Linked DNA regions of Cricetulus griseus. The protein of the gene in region 3 interacts with the protein of the main gene of each other region in a pairwise test. Links are inferred from orthologs where the notes say so. Each region holds a gene or a part of one and is shown on either strand. Other genes may lie near its edges. The genes, in order: caspase-9-like, Polr1c, Birc7 and Phf1.

Region 1 (4,207 bases), on a different chromosome or scaffold from region 3:
TGCAGTGTCAGCCACCATTCCCAGTCACCCATATTTTCACAGTGTGCAGGGGCCAGAACAGTCATTTATTAGTCTTAGTTCTGACAAAGACTGGCCCTGCCCAGACCGTCCAGACACTCCTCACATAATGTAACAGGATGAGGCCCTACATCATCTGTTTGGCCCCGCAGACCCTCACTTCCCCCTGTGCCAGCCACCCAGACCCCTGTGCAGTTGTTTTCTGTGTATGCTGCCCCACTACTGTCCCCCACTACTGTCCCAGGGTCTTCGCATTTGCAGTCCGTTAGCATAACTTTCTCCATTTCCTACTGGTCTCTGCTTGATGCCACCTTCTCCATGAAGTGTCTATGACAACACCATCCAGAACAGTGCACGCATGCATATCCATGCTGTCCTGGCAAGTATTATGACAACTTGACACAAGCTAGATTCATCTGGGATGAGGGAACCTCAACCAAGTCAATGCTCCCACCAGATTGGCCTGTAAGCAAGCTTGGGGTGCACTTGATTGATTGATGGTTGATGGCTGATGTGGAAGGTCCCACCTCACTTGTGGGCAGTGCTGCCCCTGGGTCGGTGGTCGTGGGGGCTAGAAGGAAGCAAGGTATATGAGCAAGCTATGAGGCGCTCATCAAAGCATCATCCCTCCGTGGCTTCTGCCTCAGCCCTGCCTCCAGGTTCCTGTCCTCCTTCAGTCCCTGTACTGACTTCCTTCAATGATGGGCTGTGATGTGGAAGTACAGGCTGAAACCAACCCTTTCCTTCCCAGGTTGCTTTTGGTCACTGTGTATTTACCACAGCAACAAAAACCCTAAGACACATGCTCGCTCACTCAAGAATGTACACACCTGCACATAAGCACACACCTCCCCGACTGCATTGCTTTTTACCCAGTGGCGGCTTTGTTGCCCAGCAACTAGACTTTCAGGTAAATCCTGTGAATCTCACCCCTACATACTGTGTTCTAGGGGTCCGTGGGTAGGAGATAGGAGGTCTTTGATAAACAGCCCTCCAGCCCTCCAGCCCTCCAGCCCTCCTCATCAGACTCAACAGCCATAGATGAGAACTACTCAAGAACAAAACTTGTACCTGCACAAAACACATGTACTTTTTCCTTGTCATCATTCACTAAACAATATCACAGATGACGACTTAGATAGCAATGGCATTGTGGTTGGGGATCACCAGTAATCTAGAGATTAGTTGAAATAATAGGAAGGGCTGTGGATGACACAGCTTGTCTAGCATGCTTGCTCTAGGCTTGAGTCCTAGACCTGCATAAAAGATGGGGGAGGAAAGGATAGGGGAGTAATAGTGATGATGACGGTGACGCTGGCACGTGATGGATCCTTGTTTGTTCTTTGTCAGCTTGGTATAACCTAGAGCCATTTGGGAAGAGGGAACCTCAATTGAGAAATTGCTTCCGTTATATTTCCTGTAGAGTAGTTGGTGGGGATTTTTTTTTTTTTTAAATAAGATTAATGCTTAGAGCCCAGCCCTCCATGGCAGGTGCCACCCTGGTCAGTTGATCCTGGGTTGTGTGATAAAGAAGTAAGAGCAAGCTGGAAATAGCAAACCAGTAAGCAACACCCTGTGTTAAATCCATAGTACTCCCCCAAACTGGAAAATATTTACGATAGACACGTGAGGGATGGAGAGAGGGCTCAGTGAGCAAGGCTGACAACTTGAGTTTAATCCCCAGGACCACATGGACCCAATGGAAGGAGAGGAAAGACTTCTGGAAATTGTCCTCTGACATCCATGAGTCCCTACCCTGCAAATAAATGTAGTAAAAGAAACAAAACGAGGAGCCAGAGAGTAGGCTCAGCAGTTATTCCCACCCTTCACTTGGTGGCTCACAGCTGTCTGTAACTCCAGTTCCAGGAATGCCAAACATAAATGCACATAAAAAATAAAGTATAAATAAAAAATAAACAAAACATACAAAGCTACTCCAAAGGATTGTGCACCAAGCTAAAATACACAAAACCTCCTGTAGATAGAAACTTTTCCCCCATGGGCAGAAATGCCATGACTGAACCACTGATTTGGTTTTGAAGATTAACCAAGCACTTATATTGAGAAGTAAAGAAATAGCTCCCTGTAACATGGAAGGGACCAAAAATTCAACTAAAACAAGTTTTTGAGATGGTCTTATGTATCCCAAGGTTGTTCCAAGTTCTTTACATAACCAAAGATGATCCTGAGCTCATGCTTTTCCTGCCCTCACCTCCTGAGTGCTGGGATTACATTTATGAACCACCATGTCCAAAGTTTTATCATACTCAGGGCTTCCACCAGATGCCAACTTAGTAACATACTCAAGCCCTGCATCAAATTAGAATCTTGACTCCTCCCAAGCTCAACGGGGTGTGTTTGGGCTGTTATGGGACCATTCAGAGTCCCAGTTCTTTTATCGGGAAAATAAGGACCCCTTGGATAGGGCTCTGGTCATTGCTAGTATTTCCAACAGAACATTATTTAAACACTGTGACTATAGCCATGTGACACACATCTTTCTGATCTGGGCACATAAGCCATTTCCCATCACTCCTGTAACCCCATAGGGCACCATTCACTATTTATCATGCCCATTGTACTTGTGAGAGAACAAATGCCCCTGTGGGCAGCAATGCCAGCAGGACTGCTCTTTCTTATGTGACTTATGGAAGGAGCTTAACAATTCCACAAAAACAAACACTTAGTACTTAGGATGGGAATGTTGGCACATTCCCTTAATCCTAGCACTCTCGTGGATCTCTGAGTTTGAGGCCAGTTTGGTCTAAATTGTGAGTTCTAAGACAGCCAGAGCCACAATGAGACCCTGTCTGAAGAAATGAATAATTAAATAAATAAGTAACACATATAATGAATACTTACTGGTTGTTATTTTACATGTGTTTGTGTTTGCCTTCATGTATGTACATGTCTAGTGCCTGTGGAGGCCAGAAGAGGGCACTGGATGCCCTGGAACTGGAGTTCTAGATGGTTGTGAGCTGTCATGTGGGTGGTGGGAACTGAATTCGCTTTCTCTGAAGAACAGCAAGTCTCCTCACTGTTGAGCCTTCTCTCCAGCTCTCCAGGAAAGCTATTTTAAAACGGACATGCTTCTGACATTTGAAAAATGTGCAATAAACTGGGCAGTGGTGGTGCTCGGGAGGCAGAGGCAGTTGGATCTCAGTTGAAGGCCAGCCTGGTCTATAGAGTGAGTTCTAGGACAGGCAGGTCTACACAGAGCTCTGTCCCACAAACAAACAAAGAATATACAGCACACCTATTTGGTGTTGTGTATGGTTCTCCAGTCCTACAGTTCTATGATTGTCTCGAAACAATCAACAGCAACAAAAGGTCTTTTCTACAGCCACCTTTTCAACTACCAAGTGTAGATTTTGCCAGGGAAGAAAGGTTTTTTAAAATATTCATCATAAAGGTCTCACATGTCCTATGAAAGATCTAGTAATTTCTACCTGGGCCAAATTTCAGTTTTGACAGCACTATGATTATATCAGTGTAAGGAAGCAGTTATTTTCATCCATAACAGTGTAATTAAGAATTAATCTGCATAAATAGCCCTGACTGGCCCCTTCAAGTGAAGAATATTTGCATAGGAGTGGTGACAGCCTCACAGGGGAAACTGATGTGGCAGTGGGCATGTAACTTTAGATCATCAGGTCTCTGGCAGCTCCTTTTTGATGGCTGGAGACATTTCCTTTCTCTCAGTCCCCAATAGTCCATGGCTGCAGGATTTTATTGTATTGGTGCGGCCCTCTTGTGTTCCCACCAAACCTCACCTTTGTCTGAATAATAGACTCACCAGTGTGGTTGACTCACCTGCCAGGGCCAGCTGTTGGGTGTGGCCTCTTCTCCCCCAACTACCCTGCTCACATGGTCCTCGACATCATAAGTGGGGAACCCGCAGCTGAGAGCTGGGAAAAGAGAGTATTGGGTCAGTGAGGATTTGCTTTTGTGGACATACCCAAACCCAACAGGAAACTCTTGCTTTGCAAAGATCTAGTAGGTCCGTGAGTCAGTCCTTCATTCCACTTCCTAGCCTGTCTTTGATTTTGTCAGGTAACTGAAGCTGGCCTTAAATTTGTGGTCCTCCTGTCTCAGCCTCACGAGTGTTGGTATTATCATTGTGCCCTGCTCCCTGCTTCCTATAACTGAGGGCCTGGAGACTGGGACATCTGCTCAAAGTAAGGGCAGG
Region 2 (4,453 bases), on a different chromosome or scaffold from region 3:
ACATGGTAGAAGCCAGCAGAGTTGTCTAGGAGTCCCAGCTGGGGAGGAATGAGGACACAGCAAGTGCTGTCCGAGCGCGGTGTCTGGTAAGATGGGCAGCATGCACACACTTTCACCACCAGAGCTCAGGGCTCAGTATCTGACTGCAGTCTGGATGAGGGACTAGATGTGAGGACAGACTCTTCTGAGAAGACTCCTCACCTGCTTCGGACCTGAGCAGGCTCCACATCAAAGTAGGGTCTCAGGATGTCGATGTTGGCATACAAGCTGAAGGCTCTGGAAGCTTGTCTCTTCCCTGCCTGCCACATCTGAAGGGAGATGGGTATTATGAAACTGGTGGCTCTAGACTGTTAACGTTACACAGCCTTTGCCAGATTTCTGTGTGGTTCTCCCTGGAAAACCTACGTCACCTTGGGACACACATGGGTCCACTTTCCCATCTGCTTACCTGATCAGCCACCTGTCGGCTCAGCTGTCCCTTAAAGCCTTTCATGCCCAGAAACTCGCCATCCTCCTCTTCTGCAGCAGCTGCGTCGGCATCCACTTCTTCCTCACGCAGGCGCTGATGCAGCTCCCCCATGTCCTCGAAGCTGGAGCCTGACGTGTCATCCATGTTCTCCATGTCAATCACGGCCGAGCCCCCGCCCTGTGAAGACAAAGGCTGCTAGAGAGCGGGGCCTTCTGTTGCACCCTTCTGCTCTCTGCTCATCGCACGGTTTGAGGCTTTGCTCTCCCACTGATGAGGACATTGGAATTGCTACCCATCGTGCCAAACTCCTCCTTGTCACTGCTGGCACAACTCTTGTCGCCACACTTTTGTGGTTCAGAAAACACACTACTCATCTTCAATTCACGTTGTTTTCCTACCTTCCCCCTCAAAGCTTCGAAGTGCTGCACCGGGGCCGACCTGCCGCCACCCACCTTCAAGCAAGCCTATGTGCACACAGGCCACCTTTAGGGGCTCCAGGGAATCAATCCTACCCTCTAGCCCTGCACCTGCCTGACCCAGACAGGCCGCCCAGCCACGGAGACCCGAGGCCCGCTGCAGCCTCGGCCTGGCCCTTCCTCCTCAGCACAAGCGCTACAGACCTGGGCGTGGGAGACTCAGCGGCCACCACTTGCAATGGAGCCGACTTCCAGGCCGCGAGAGGGGACGGCGGCCAGCCCGGGGGCTGCCGGCAGCCGGGACACCGCTCCATACCTGGATGTTTTCTTCGAAGCCTCCCCACTCCGGGCCAGCTCCGTTTCGGACGCCGCTGGCCGGCGCCGCGGGAGTCGCCATGTCCCTCGAGGCTTTCCGTCGCTGAAGCTCGCGGGCGTGGGACCAGCGTGAGACCCGGGCCGGAGAGAAGGAGGAAACGTCCAGGAAAGAGAGAGGGCGAGGTAGTATCAGCCGGAATGCAAACAGGAGAAACCCGGATGTTTGGCCCCAATTGACGTCCGGAAGTGAAGGACGTGGACGGGGCGGGGCAGGATATCGCGACATTTATAAGTTCAGGAGGCGGGGCGTTGCCAGGGAGACGGCAACGGGCCCCTAGTACGCCTGCGCGCACCGGAGGCGTCTCGAGGCGGGTGGTGGACGATGGCGGCGGCCCAGGCCGTGGAGGAGATGCGGACGCGCGTGGTTCTGGGAGAGTTCGGGGTTCGCAACGTGAGCTCGGAGCGGAACTCGGGAGGGTCGGGGGCGGGATGGGGGAGGAGGAGGGGAGGGGACCTGGCTTGCGGCTTGTCCTCACCGCCCCGCTGAACACATCTGTTGGCTCTAGGTCCACACCACCGACTTCCCCGGTAACTACTCGGGTTACGACGACGCCTGGGACCAGGACCGCTTCGAGAAGGTGGGTGCGCGGGAGGTGTCCCGGCGGCCCGGGGACCAGACGGCTCACGCTCGCCGCGTTCCAAAAACGTGTGCTGAGCCATCCATGTGCTGGGTGCTGGGTGGCCAGGCCGCCCGGGTGGGGTGAAGGCCCACGTGATCAAGGGATCCCGGTGAAACACAAGAGCGGCGAGCACGGCCGGGGTGCGGGAGAGGAATCCCGTAGGTGACTTAATCCGGTCCGTCGGAGAGACGGAGACTCGGGTCAGTGAAGGAAGACTGGCCAACAGTTAGGCCGTGCAGGCCTAATTGGAGCATTGTTGCAAACGCTTGTTTGCGCAGAGCCTGCTCCAGCAGTTCATTATCGCCAGATGTCAATACATTGGCCCGAGTGGTAGACAAGACCGGGGTCTATCTTTTTCTCTTTGAAAATTTATTTGTATTTTATGTACATTGGTGTTTTGTCCGAATCTATGTGAGGGTGTCGGATCCTGTTGTCAGTTACAGTGTTGAGTGCTGGAAATTTAAACTCGCGTCCCTGATTGGGGTGTTATCTTAAGCTCTGCAAGTTAATAGAGAGCTCTGTTGTTTTTTTTTTTTCGAGACAGGGTTTCTCTGGGTATCCCTGGCTGTCATGAAACTAGCCTTTCTGCCTCCTGAGCGCTGAGATTAATAGCATGAGCTACCTCGCCTGGCTTAAAGAGAATTTTTCAGTAGACTGATCTAATTTTGTAACCTTCATAGCTGGGAGGGAATGAATAAATTCCACTGGTAGTGGAAATGGAGCAAAAGGAGAACTAACAGCTATGTACCATATAGCTTTGGTGAGGGGTGTGTGTGTGTGTGTGTGAAAAAGGGCCTTGTGATGTGGGGAATTTAAGGAGTTTTTTTTTTGGGGGGGGGGTTATGTGTTTACCTGCATGTATATTTGTGCATTTGTGTGACTGGTGACCCAGGGAGGTCTAGTTAGGTCCCCAGAACTGGAGTTATGCATGGTTATGAACCACAGTGTGGGTGCTGGGAACCAAACCCAGTTCTTTTTCTTTTTTCTTTTTTTTTCTTCTGTTTTTCGAGACAGGGTTTCTCTGTGGCTTTGGAGGCTGTCCTGGAAGTAGCTCTTGTAGACCAGGCTGGTCTCGAACTCACAGAGATCCTCCTGCCTCTGCCTCCCGAGTGCTGGGATTAAAGGCGTGCGCCACCCAACGCCCGGCCAAACCCAGTTCTTCTGTAAGAGCAGTCAAATGCTCTTAACTGCTGAGCCATCTCGTCAGCTCCATTAGGGAAGTGTCTTGATGGCTGATTGTGTCAGTTGATAAACAGGAGAAAAAGAGTGATAATATGTTCAAATTCCTGTATGTGAAGTCTGTAGGTCAAGTGAATGATGCCTGAAGTGAGATCAAAATGAACCCAAGTTTGGGGAGTTGCTGAGTAGTTGCTTAAGCCAGGAGTGTGATTGAGGTCAGCCAAGAGATTTGAACCTGGGAGAAAGTAACATTTACAGGGTGAGAGGAAGAATTTAGAATATCAGATAAGAGAACTAAATTGGTGTTCAAAAGTCAAGGGAGTAGAATTTGAAAAAAGAGGGATTGAAAAATAAAAACAAATGCAGGACTAACTTGTCTAAGCAGTGTGGGACGTTCTGCTCTTCAGTGTAGCAGCTTCTGTGGGTTGTTTTTGTGGAGCCATATTGCCTAGGGTCTTTTTTGGGGAGAGGGCGGGGGTTGAGACAGGATGTAGCTTTGGAGCCTATCCTGGCACTCCATCTGTAGACAAGGCTGGCCTGGAACTCACAGAGATCTGCCTGTGTCCCCCTCCCCCCCACGCGCGCGCGCCCAGTGCTGGGATTAAAGGTGTGCACCACCAATGCCCGGCTTTGCTTAGGGTCTTAGTGATGTACACCTTTGATCCTAGTCCATAGAAGATAGGTAAGTATTCCTGTGAGTTCGAGGCCATTGTGGTTTACATAGATAGTTCCAGAAATGCTAGGGCAAGGTAGGGAGACCCCCCCTTATTTTTTAATTTAAAAAAGAAAGAAAACCAGCCAGGCTTCTTACAAAACTCAAGAACAGGGCTGAAGACAAAAGTCTAGTGATCATCTGGTCACAGGAAGGCTTTAGGATGAGAGAGGGTGGACATACATGGAGGGACATTGCCAGGGTGGGAGTAATCACAGAGGGAGGCTTGAATTACACAAGAGAAACAGGTGTTCCATCAGTTTTTTCTCTATCCCTCTAGAATTTCCGTGTGGATGTTGTTCATATGGATGAAAATACACTGGAGTTCGACATGGTGGGAATTGATGCTGCCATTGCTAATGCTTTCCGGAGAATTCTGTTAGCTGAGGTAAAAGAAGACGTGTGGGTCTCTTATTTCCAGGTAGGGAGATCAGTTGGTGTTGCAGTTGGATGATTCTGCTTTTTTGAACAGGTGCCAACAATGGCAGTGGAAAAGGTTCTGGTTTATAATAACACATCCATTGTCCAGGATGAGATCCTTGCTCACCGCCTGGGGCTCATCCCCATTCTTGCTGATCCACGTCTGTTTGAATATAGGAACCCAGGTGAGATTGAGAAGATGACTGTCCTCAAGTGGGTTGTGGGCTCAGATCCCAGGCTCACCACTGTGAGACCTTGGTCG
Region 3 (4,444 bases):
GCCTCTATCCAGAAGTGCTACCATCGCTGGGGAGGACAATAGACAAAGCCCTGCCAAGCACCAGAGTGTCCCACAGACACCTGTGTGATTAAATGGGTTAGGGTTGTCATGTCACATCTCACAGCAATGAGGCTCTGGGAGAAAAGCTACTTGCCTGTGGCCACAAAGATGGCAAACAGATCAGGTGGTCCCTGAAGTTAGAAACCCCCTTGGGGTCCCTGAAGAACCTCAGACTCCTGTCCCATAGGGCCCAGGGAAGGGATTTGGAAAGCTGTGTCCTCTGTGGATCTGTTCAACAGGCTTCCGGTTATAGCCCATTTGGCTTTCAGAAGCTGTGGCCAGTGCCCAGCAGAACCAGGCCAAGATGCAGCTACCTCCTCAGGTTTGGCTGGTGTCTTTAGCAGCCTGCTCAGTGGAAACAAGGGGATGCTGTGTGGCCTGACCTGTGCCTTGGACACATAACACGTGTGCACAGTCCCGCCCGGCTGACTGGCAGGTGCGAATGCTCAGCAGTCTTACCCAGGTACAGGCTGCAAATGCCAATGAAATAGCAAGGGCTTTGTATCAGGCTATCTCACCTGTGGCGGTAGCAGGGACTGTATCTTCTGGCTCTTCCCATGGGTCCTGTTGGAAAACCATCAATGCCATAAGTAAACATAGCAGAGACTGCCAACCCACCTGAGTCCTGAGGACAGATGGACTTACCCAGGAGCCAAGCAAGGGGGTGCAAGCCTGGATTCTTTCCACAAAGTCCCTTCCTTTTGACTGTAGCAGGAACTGACACCTGGAGAAGAAATCTCAGGAGGCAGGACTGGACTCTTAGAACCCCACTGTCATATTCAAGCCCCGGAAGCCATGCCTTCTGTTCCCGTGCAACCCATTATGCCCTATGGCAGATAGTCATGGCTATATTCCCTAGGGAGACCTGGGAAAGCTATCAGGAGATGGGCTCTGAGCACTTAGAAAAGGATAGCAATGGGAGAATGACCATTGTAGCAGCCCCTCCAGAGAGAGCTCCATGAAGAGTGGGGTTGTCTGCTACCCTCGAGAGATCCTGATGTTCTGGGACTGTGGGAGATGGGAAGGCTGAACAGAATTCTTTAGGGCCCTTTTCACTGATGGGACCTGCATCAGTCCACCTGGTCCTTACCTGGGGAACCATCGGGCATGCTCTGTCCAAGGGTCATCCCCATGCTCCCAGCTCTGCAGACCCCCATAGCAGAAGAAACATCTCACCTTGTCCTGCTGGCCTGGGTATGGCAGAGACACATGGCTAGTAACTCCACCTAGCTGGCATCCCCAGAGTGTCCCTCCATGGCCATCAGAGCTTGGACAGGCAGGGCTGGGATCTACCAGCAGGTTGACAAGGAGGGAGCAAGGCACACATGGGCATCTCTCTTGTCTCAAAGACAAATGAAGACAATGCCTGGGTCATGTGTCAGGAGGGCCCTAGAGTATTCTGGAAAGCTGAGCTAGCATTTATGTTGCTCTCAGGGCATGGGGGTAGGGTAGGGCCAAAGGCTTAGAGCATCTGTAGCCTGGGAAATTCGGGGCATCCAAAAAGGACTCCTAGTGACAGGATAAGGAGGTGACCCCTCCCACACTGGTTTATAATTAGGCTTGGTTTTAGTGGTTCAGGCCTTCCTCATCTCTGCTCTCTGCCCCTCCTCCAACCATGGGGAGATGTGTCCTTCATGACCTTGTGCAGAAATTATAAACAGGACTTACAGGCATCTCCCACAGCAGGCACCCACAATCCACAAAATCCCCCTAACATATGTTGGCCCCAGGAACATTTCTTTTCAAGGAGGCTCTAACTGTCCCAGCCATTAACCCTTCCTGACCAGTGTCCAGTTGCCCTATATCAGTTTGGGCTCTTGCCTGACCAGTGCAAGGAAAATAAATAATTCCTCCCTTGCTAGCCTCATCGGAGATAGTTTCTCTGGCTATGCTCCTACTTACAAAGCCTCTCCGTGGGTCTCCCTGCCTCTTTTTCCTCAACCAGAAAGAGAAAAAGCTGGAACCTGACCCCTACCGTGAGTGAGGAGCAGCCCAAACTAAAGTTGTCTGTTTGTAACTAAAACAGCTACTCAAAGGATTTCCCTGCACTAGCCTGGTACATGGGAAGCCTGGAGGATTACCTACAGGGGTACAAATCAGGGGATGTTTAAGCTAACCACTGCATCCATAGGTACATGTTCCTCCATTTGTCCTGGAATGAAAGGGGATAATCACCTCTATAACCAAGCCTGCAAGGCTCCCAGATAGCAGTGGAGATCCCTGAAGTAGTATGGGGAATCCACAGAACCATCTAATTCAGGTGAAACCACCTGCTGAGTGGCCTTCTGGACAAGGCCACCACAAGCCCATGATCTCATAGTGGCTTTTGACTACATTAGATCCCAAGCCCTGGCCAGGCAGAAATAACAGGACTACCTTTCATCAGCTCCTCCCTCAGGGCAGGAATGGACAGAACTCTCAGCCTGGAAGAGTGCTAATTAGCCTCCAGACCACAGCAGAAAGACCCCAAGACTTACCTGTATGGAAGAAGCCAGCAGCAGCCAATGGTTCTGGCTGAATCCCAGCAGTGGATGGCCAGTCGAAGAAGGAAGCCAGGCGGAGATCCTCTGAATCCATCTCAGGGAAGGCGGGCTCCCCAAGGAAGGTAGCTCCAGTGGATTCTTCCTCTTCTGACAGGGGGCGCAACTGGCCCAAGATCTGCCCATCTAGGCAGTCCTGACCCGAGACATGGCTCCGTCTGCGGTGGGATCTGTACTGCTCCTGGGTGAGGCTGTTGCTATCTTCCCTGTGACTAAGTTCTGGGCTACAGAATAAGTCCCTGGCCCTACCCTCAGGCCCCATGGAGAGAACAGCAGCTCTGAGCAAGTCTTCAGGAGAGAACATCACCAAGCCTGGAATGTGCCTGGTGACTTACCTCCAGCTCCTGACTCTAGCAGCCCTTTCTAGAAGCTGTGGTGACCCCTGCTCCTAACTACAGGCAGACACCACTAGATGCTCAGATGTGGTAGTGTGTCCAGGGATGTGCCACTTTCTGAAAGAGGCCAGAGTGGTGGCCACGTGCTCTCTGCAGTGAATGTGTCATGGGGCCTCCTGGCAGGCGCCTAACAAAGGCGGTACTCCACTGTGCTGAAAGCATCTCTAAATAGGAGGAGGGGCAGAGCTTGGGGATCCCTCTAACAGCATCCTCTAAGCCTCTGGAAGCAAATCATAGGTACTGACAAAAAAATGGGGGGGGGGCGGAATCCAGCTATTCAGGGTTCAGTTCTGGGTAGAGATAGATAAATCCAGACAGGGGCCTGCAAGGTAGAAAGCTAGATTGTCCAGGACAGTATGCAACCCCAACCACATTCCTTCCATATCAAGCCTGTCCTGATGTTCAAGGATGATATCACCTGCTTATCCCTGTCCCTAGCATGTAGGCAATCCCTGTTTGGCTCAGCCCTGGGTCAGAGTCAGCCTGCCTATCCTAACTGGTCTCAGGCTGCCCTCTTTCTATCTGGACAGGCTAGAGTCAAATCAAGGGTGGGGCATGGTCTGGGAGGAGCTCAAGTTTTAGATTGTGTTTGCTCCAGGCCAGCACAGGTCTCTATCTGCACTGTTACAGGGGATACTGCCTCCCTAAGTGAGCTCTGCCTCAGGACTGGTTCCAGGCACCTGGTCTCCACTAACAAGCCCCAGGTGAGGGACTCCATTGTCACAGACCTAACAGAACAGAGAGGAGAGGCATAACCCCAGAGAGGCCATAGCTACAGGTTAGTAAAACAAAAGTCCTCAAGACTACTGGAAGGGGCAGAGAAGAAGACCAAGGAGCCAGCTCTGCCCAAGCTGGCACTGTACCCAGATAGCCGCACAAACTCCTCACCTGTAAGTAGCTCTTCACGCTGGTGAAACATTTAACATGGTGAGCACTCAGGAGTCAGAGGCAGGCAAATCTCTAAGCTGGAGGCCAGCCTCATCTACAGAATGAGTTCCAGGACATCCAGGGCTACACAGAGAAACACAGTTGGAAGGAAGGAAGGAAGGAAGGAAGGAAGGAAGGAAGGAAGGAAGGAAGGAAGGAGGAAGGAAGGAAGGAAGGAAGGAAGGCAGACTCCAGACAGTTCTTTTTGGTCATACTCACCCCTACTTCTCCCCCTACCTCCTTCCATGTCCATCCCTGTCTTTCCACTCCCATCCCAACTTCATCTCCTCTTTTTATTTATTTTTAAATGTTTACCCACTGAGTCCAGTTTGTGTTGTCCCTATATTCGTGGGTGTGGCAACATCCACTGAAACATGGCCAACCTACCAGGAGCCACCAACCGTGGCTTCTCCCAGAAGCTGTCAACTGTCAATAGTCCCTCAGTCAGGAGTAGATATTGAGCCACATGGCGAGGGGTTGGGACTTGAGAGATATTGTGAGGTGGGCATGGCGGCTCATGCA
Region 4 (4,362 bases), on a different chromosome or scaffold from region 3:
CGAAGTATTTTTTCTTGCAGCAGACACTGAGGTGGTAGAGGACCAGGTGGGCCACATCCACCCTGGAGAGGCAGGAAGGCAGCAGCGCATATGAGAGTCAAACAGCGGGGAACAGGAAGGAAGGAAGGAAGGAAGGAAGGAAGGAAGGAAGGAAGGAAGGAAGGAAGGAAGGCACAATCCATCTCACCAGCGAAGCTGTAACCTCCGGACCTTCTCAGGGCCACCCCGGCACACACAGCATTCAAATTCATAGAATCTGGACATGAGGACAGAGAACGCACCTCGTTCAACTCTACAAGTGGTAGACAGCGAACGCTGGGAGGCCTGGGCGTGGGTGGAGCACAGCAGGCGGGCGCCCTGGGCTTCCTGGACAGCCTCCTTTGGGCTCACCTGTCTCCGTAGAGGAGGGGCTTGCTCAGACACTGGGTGCAGGCCTCGTGGAACCACTGGAGACAGCTCCGACACTGCAGCATTTTCAGGTTCCACCTCAGGGGAAGACAGCCTGCCTGAGACCACCCTGAACCCTCACCCACCTCCCATCACCTCGGGGCTCCCCTCAGCCTGCCCCTTCCCCTTTATTCCAGGCTCTACCACCACAGCGTCCACCCCAGAACTCAGCACCCCCACCACTCACTCCCCGGGGCCTCCACAGTAACAGTAGCTCTGCTGTCGGTTGCTCAAGTGCCCGGCGTCCCAGTCCAGCCCCTTTAGTCCATACGGCAGACAGAGCTTCATGCCCAGCATGGCCCGGGCATAGGGGCCCTTCTTCAGGGCGCCCCCCCTCTGCAGAGGAACAGGTGGAAACCTCAGAGAGGCAGGAGAGAAGGGGCCATGGGAGGCTCCCATAGGAAGTGGCAGAGAGGTGCCTTTACCTTGGTGGCAATCGCAAAGACACACTGGCGGCAGACCCAGGATGTGCCCTCTCCTTCTCCAGGGGCTGGGGCCCTGGGAACGTGACAGTCCTGGTGATAAGCTGAATAAGGACAATGTTGAGAGTCAAACACTGTGTGCGCACCTGCATTGGCTTGGTGCTCGTACACGGCAGCCTTCCCTTGTGCGTTTATATCCTGACCATGGTCCTACTGTGTGTGTGTGTGTGTGTGTGTGTGTGTGTGTGTGTGTGTGTGTGGTGTGTGTTTGGTGGGGGGGCTGGAGAGATGGCTCAGAGGTTAAGAGCACTGGCTGCTCTTCCAGAGGTCCTAAGTTCAATTCCCAGCAACCACATGGTGGCTCACAACCATCTGTAGTGACATCTGGTACCCTTTTCTGGCCTGAAGTTGTACATGCAGGCAGAACACTGTATAATAAATAAACAAATCTTTAAAAGACAGAGAGAGAGAGAGAGAGAGAGAGAGAGAGAGAGAGAGAGTGAGAGGTATGTAGCTACCCTCAACCTTAGAGAGAGAGAGAGATGTATGTAGCTACCCTCAACCTTGCATGGCTTATGTCATCTTCATCCTATGGCTCCCTCTCCCTGTACTGAGATGAGGTGACAGGGTGAAGACTGGCCAAGATAGGAGACACAAGACCCATGCTAGGAAGACAACTGGCAATCCAGAAGACCCAGGGCAAACTGTACCATTCAAGTATCCTGCCCTCTCCTCTCACCATGACGACACTTCTCACAGCTGACCAGCCGGTTCCCAGGGACCACCGTCTCAGAGCGACAGACACAGCAGAGGAGCTCCTCCCCAGGGAGGGCAGCTGTGAGGGACAAGGTGTCAGGTGGCTTACTTCAGCCAGTGTCCCCCACACCCTCCAGCTTCTGCAGTTATGAAGGGTCTCACCCGGGCTGATGTCCTTCCATAGAACCAGAAACTGGGAATCATCCTCAAACTGGACCAGACACACCTCCCGAGCACTGTCCACCTGGAGTGGGTGAGCAAAGATTATAAAGTGGGAGCAGGAATCAGAGGGAGAGGATCCATGGTGGGGCCCAGAGTTGGCTCTTACCTTTTTGATGGTGCCTAAATACAGCAGCCCATCGGTCCACCTAGCCAGCACGTCTTGACCCTCCCAAAGTCGAGGTCTAGGGCCTGAGGTGGGAGCAGGGGAAGCTGGATCCCAAAGAGAGGGTGCACCCAAGCGGCTCAGCCGGGGGAGCTGCGCCATTGCATCCTGGGAGGGGCTAATCAGATACGATGGAAGAGTTTATGAATGTTAAGAAGGCTTGGCTGCTCTGTCTGCTTTTACTGTCAAGGATAAGGGACCAAGCACCTCCAAGCTCAGTCACTGAATCCTTTAGACACCTAAGGAGGTGGGTCACCCTGGTCCCCAGCCTGGTTCTCTAGCATCCCAGCTCCCTGGGGCCTTAGGGGAAAAGATGCTTTCAGAGCCAAGGTTACCATTCATTCAGTTTCGCCTTTCCCAGCTGTTTAGAGGTATCCTAACTGGGACGCTCGGTTGCCCAGAGATATTTTGGGAGCTTTTCTGGAGATGTTTCCCTGAGTAGAGACATCCGCCTCCCCAGGCCTGTGTGTCTCATTTAGAACCGCTGTCCTGGTGCCAGGTTATGTTAGGTCACCCTCAAATTTGAGGCTGCTTGCCCTGGGATTAGATAACTTCCCCGAGTGCCCCAGGAGGGGGGCGTGTCCCTGTCCAGGTCTCCGCTACCCTACACCGCCGGTCTGAGGAGGGACTCGAGTCCCCCCAGCCCGGATCCTAAGCCGGTGCCAAGAGGCTCTCCTGCCCCCTGCTGAGCATCGACCCCCGGCCCCCTCCCTGCCCCCGCTCAGGGCCTCCCGCCTCCTTCTTACCGGTGACAGCTGGGTCAGCAGGGAGCCAGCTAGGGGCAGACCCCAGAGCCCTAGGGGCGCGAGCCCCGGCGCGGGCGGAGTGCGTGCGGACGCCGAGGGCGTGCAGGAGGAGGCCGGGGGTCCCGGGGCCCAGCCCCTCCGTCCTAGCGGCTCTGGGGCGTATGACGCAGCAGCCAAAGCAGCGGCGGCGGCGGCGGGAGGAGTCGGCCGCGGGAGGGCGGGAGGGAGGAGTAGTGGGTGGGGAGCACCAGAGGGAGGAGAAGCCGGAGGGGCGGACAGGCAGCACCTCCCTCACCCCCGGCAGGCCCCGAGGGCACCGCACGGCTGGGGGCGCGGCCGGCCGGGCAGGACGAGGGGACCCCTGCAGCCCCCTTTCCGGACGGGAGGCTCGCCCCGGGAGCGGCAGGAAATAACCCTGCTGGCAGCCAGCCTGCAGGTCAGGGCCCAGCCCCGCCCCATGCCACATCCGTTAGCTGCCCCGCCCCCGTGGCCACTCCAAGCCCCGCCTCCGCACGCGGCCCCGCCCTCCCCATTCACACTTCCTGTCGCCCCGCCCTTCTGCGCACGCGCGGCCCCGCCTGGGCGCTGCACCTGGGCAGACAGCCACACCTCCTGCCGCGGGAGCCCGGTGCGGCTGCGCTCCTCCCTCCCGGGCGGGCAGGCGAGCGAGCGGGCCAGGGCCGGCGAGCGGGCGAGCCAGGGCGGCAGGGCCAGCACCCAGCCGGTGACGTGCCCACAGCCAGCCAATGGGCAGCGGGCGGCAGGGAACCGTAGTTCCAAGCGGTGGGCAGGCAGAGGGAGGGGATGCGGATCGAGCGCGCTGGGACTCACACCAGGCCCGGTGTGGCAGCTATGGGTGCAACACCCGCGCTGAAGGACAGCCAAGTGAGAGCCCAACAGAGAAAAGCCCATAGCCTCACTGTGCAAAGCACACGTCAGAAGCCACACTTCTGCAAGCTTACGGTATTTGTTTACAACCTACCAGGACTAACAAGACCTTTATTTAAGAGCCGTAACAAGGGCTGCAGAGATGGCTCGTCGTTAAGAGCACTGACTGCTTTTGCAGAGAACCCACAGTCGCTCACAGCCATCCATCAGACCAGGTCCAGAGGACCTGAAGCCAGCCCTCTTCTGAACTCAAGAAGCACCAGGCATACACATGGCGCACATGTACACACACCCAGGCAAAACAACCATGCGTAAAGTCTACAACAAAATTTCTTTATTTGATAGTTGGGTACAAATGATGTCCACCCAATAAAAGCGTATCTCTCACCCCCCTCTCCCCCCCAGTACACACAGAGAGAGACACAATCAACCCAGCGGCAGCGGAACCAGGCTCTGGCCATCTTCACTTCTTATTAGCCTGAGCAGTACCGATAACACACTGGTTCACCTGTGGACCAAGAAGGTTATACAAGATCAGCGTTGGTCCATCTACCCCAGCTCCAATGCTGGGGCCGCCCTCCAAAATATTGAAATAAGGGCTGTTGAAAGTAGGCTCGGCCTGGTTCCCGCCCCTAAGCATAGTTGTCTTATATCCACTAGTAGGCCTGGAAGAGGTCAGAAGTCTAGAGATGAAGCCCTGGTTTTATGTCAACTCCAC

Evidence for each region.
Region 1: the proteins of Birc7 (region 3) and caspase-9-like interact in binary tests that used the Homo sapiens proteins (3 or more experiments, as listed by UniProt). The two-hybrid records come from large-scale screens. The link is inferred for Cricetulus griseus from reciprocal best matches to the Homo sapiens genes BIRC7 and CASP9.
Region 2: the proteins of Birc7 (region 3) and Polr1c interact in binary tests that used the Homo sapiens proteins (3 or more experiments, as listed by UniProt). The two-hybrid records come from large-scale screens. The link is inferred for Cricetulus griseus from reciprocal best matches to the Homo sapiens genes BIRC7 and POLR1C.
Region 4: the proteins of Birc7 (region 3) and Phf1 interact in binary tests that used the Homo sapiens proteins (3 or more experiments, as listed by UniProt). The two-hybrid records come from large-scale screens. The link is inferred for Cricetulus griseus from reciprocal best matches to the Homo sapiens genes BIRC7 and PHF1.

Annotation. Positions count from the first base shown.
Region 1 is NC_048595.1:11,440,645-11,444,851, reverse strand, and holds the start of caspase-9-like, read left to right. Parts: upstream 1-1,320; coding exon 1,321-1,326; intron 1,327-4,207. UniProt on the Homo sapiens protein: Involved in the activation cascade of caspases responsible for apoptosis execution. Binding of caspase-9 to Apaf-1 leads to activation of the protease which then cleaves and activates effector caspases caspase-3 (CASP3) or caspase-7 (CASP7).
Region 2 is NW_023276806.1:255,712,445-255,716,897, reverse strand, and holds the start of Polr1c (DNA-directed RNA polymerases I and III subunit RPAC1), read left to right. Parts: upstream 1-1,490; 5' UTR 1,491-1,582; coding exon 1,583-1,651; intron 1,652-1,766; coding exon 1,767-1,838; intron 1,839-4,051; coding exon 4,052-4,159; intron 4,160-4,243; coding exon 4,244-4,376; intron 4,377-4,453. Other genes in the region: protein YIPF3, read right to left, coding at 202-308, 449-646, 1,202-1,282. UniProt on the Homo sapiens protein: DNA-dependent RNA polymerase catalyzes the transcription of DNA into RNA using the four ribonucleoside triphosphates as substrates.
Region 3 is NC_048599.1:974,932-979,375, forward strand, and holds the start of Birc7 (baculoviral IAP repeat-containing protein 7), read right to left. Parts: upstream 2,970-4,444; 5' UTR 2,905-2,969; coding exon 2,538-2,904; intron 1,251-2,537; coding exon 1,151-1,250; intron 785-1,150; coding exon 706-784; intron 625-705; coding exon 579-624; intron 1-578.
Region 4 is NW_023276806.1:232,130,759-232,135,120, reverse strand, and holds the start of Phf1 (PHD finger protein 1), read right to left. Parts: upstream 2,916-4,362; 5' UTR 2,757-2,915; intron 2,129-2,756; 5' UTR 2,113-2,128; coding exon 1,954-2,112; intron 1,870-1,953; coding exon 1,788-1,869; intron 1,705-1,787; coding exon 1,609-1,704; intron 974-1,608; coding exon 873-973; intron 784-872; coding exon 635-783; intron 487-634; coding exon 391-486; intron 257-390; coding exon 188-256; intron 63-187; coding exon 1-62. Other genes in the region: kinesin-like protein KIFC1, read right to left, coding at 4,108-4,152. UniProt on the Homo sapiens protein: Polycomb group (PcG) that specifically binds histone H3 trimethylated at 'Lys-36' (H3K36me3) and recruits the PRC2 complex. Involved in DNA damage response and is recruited at double-strand breaks (DSBs).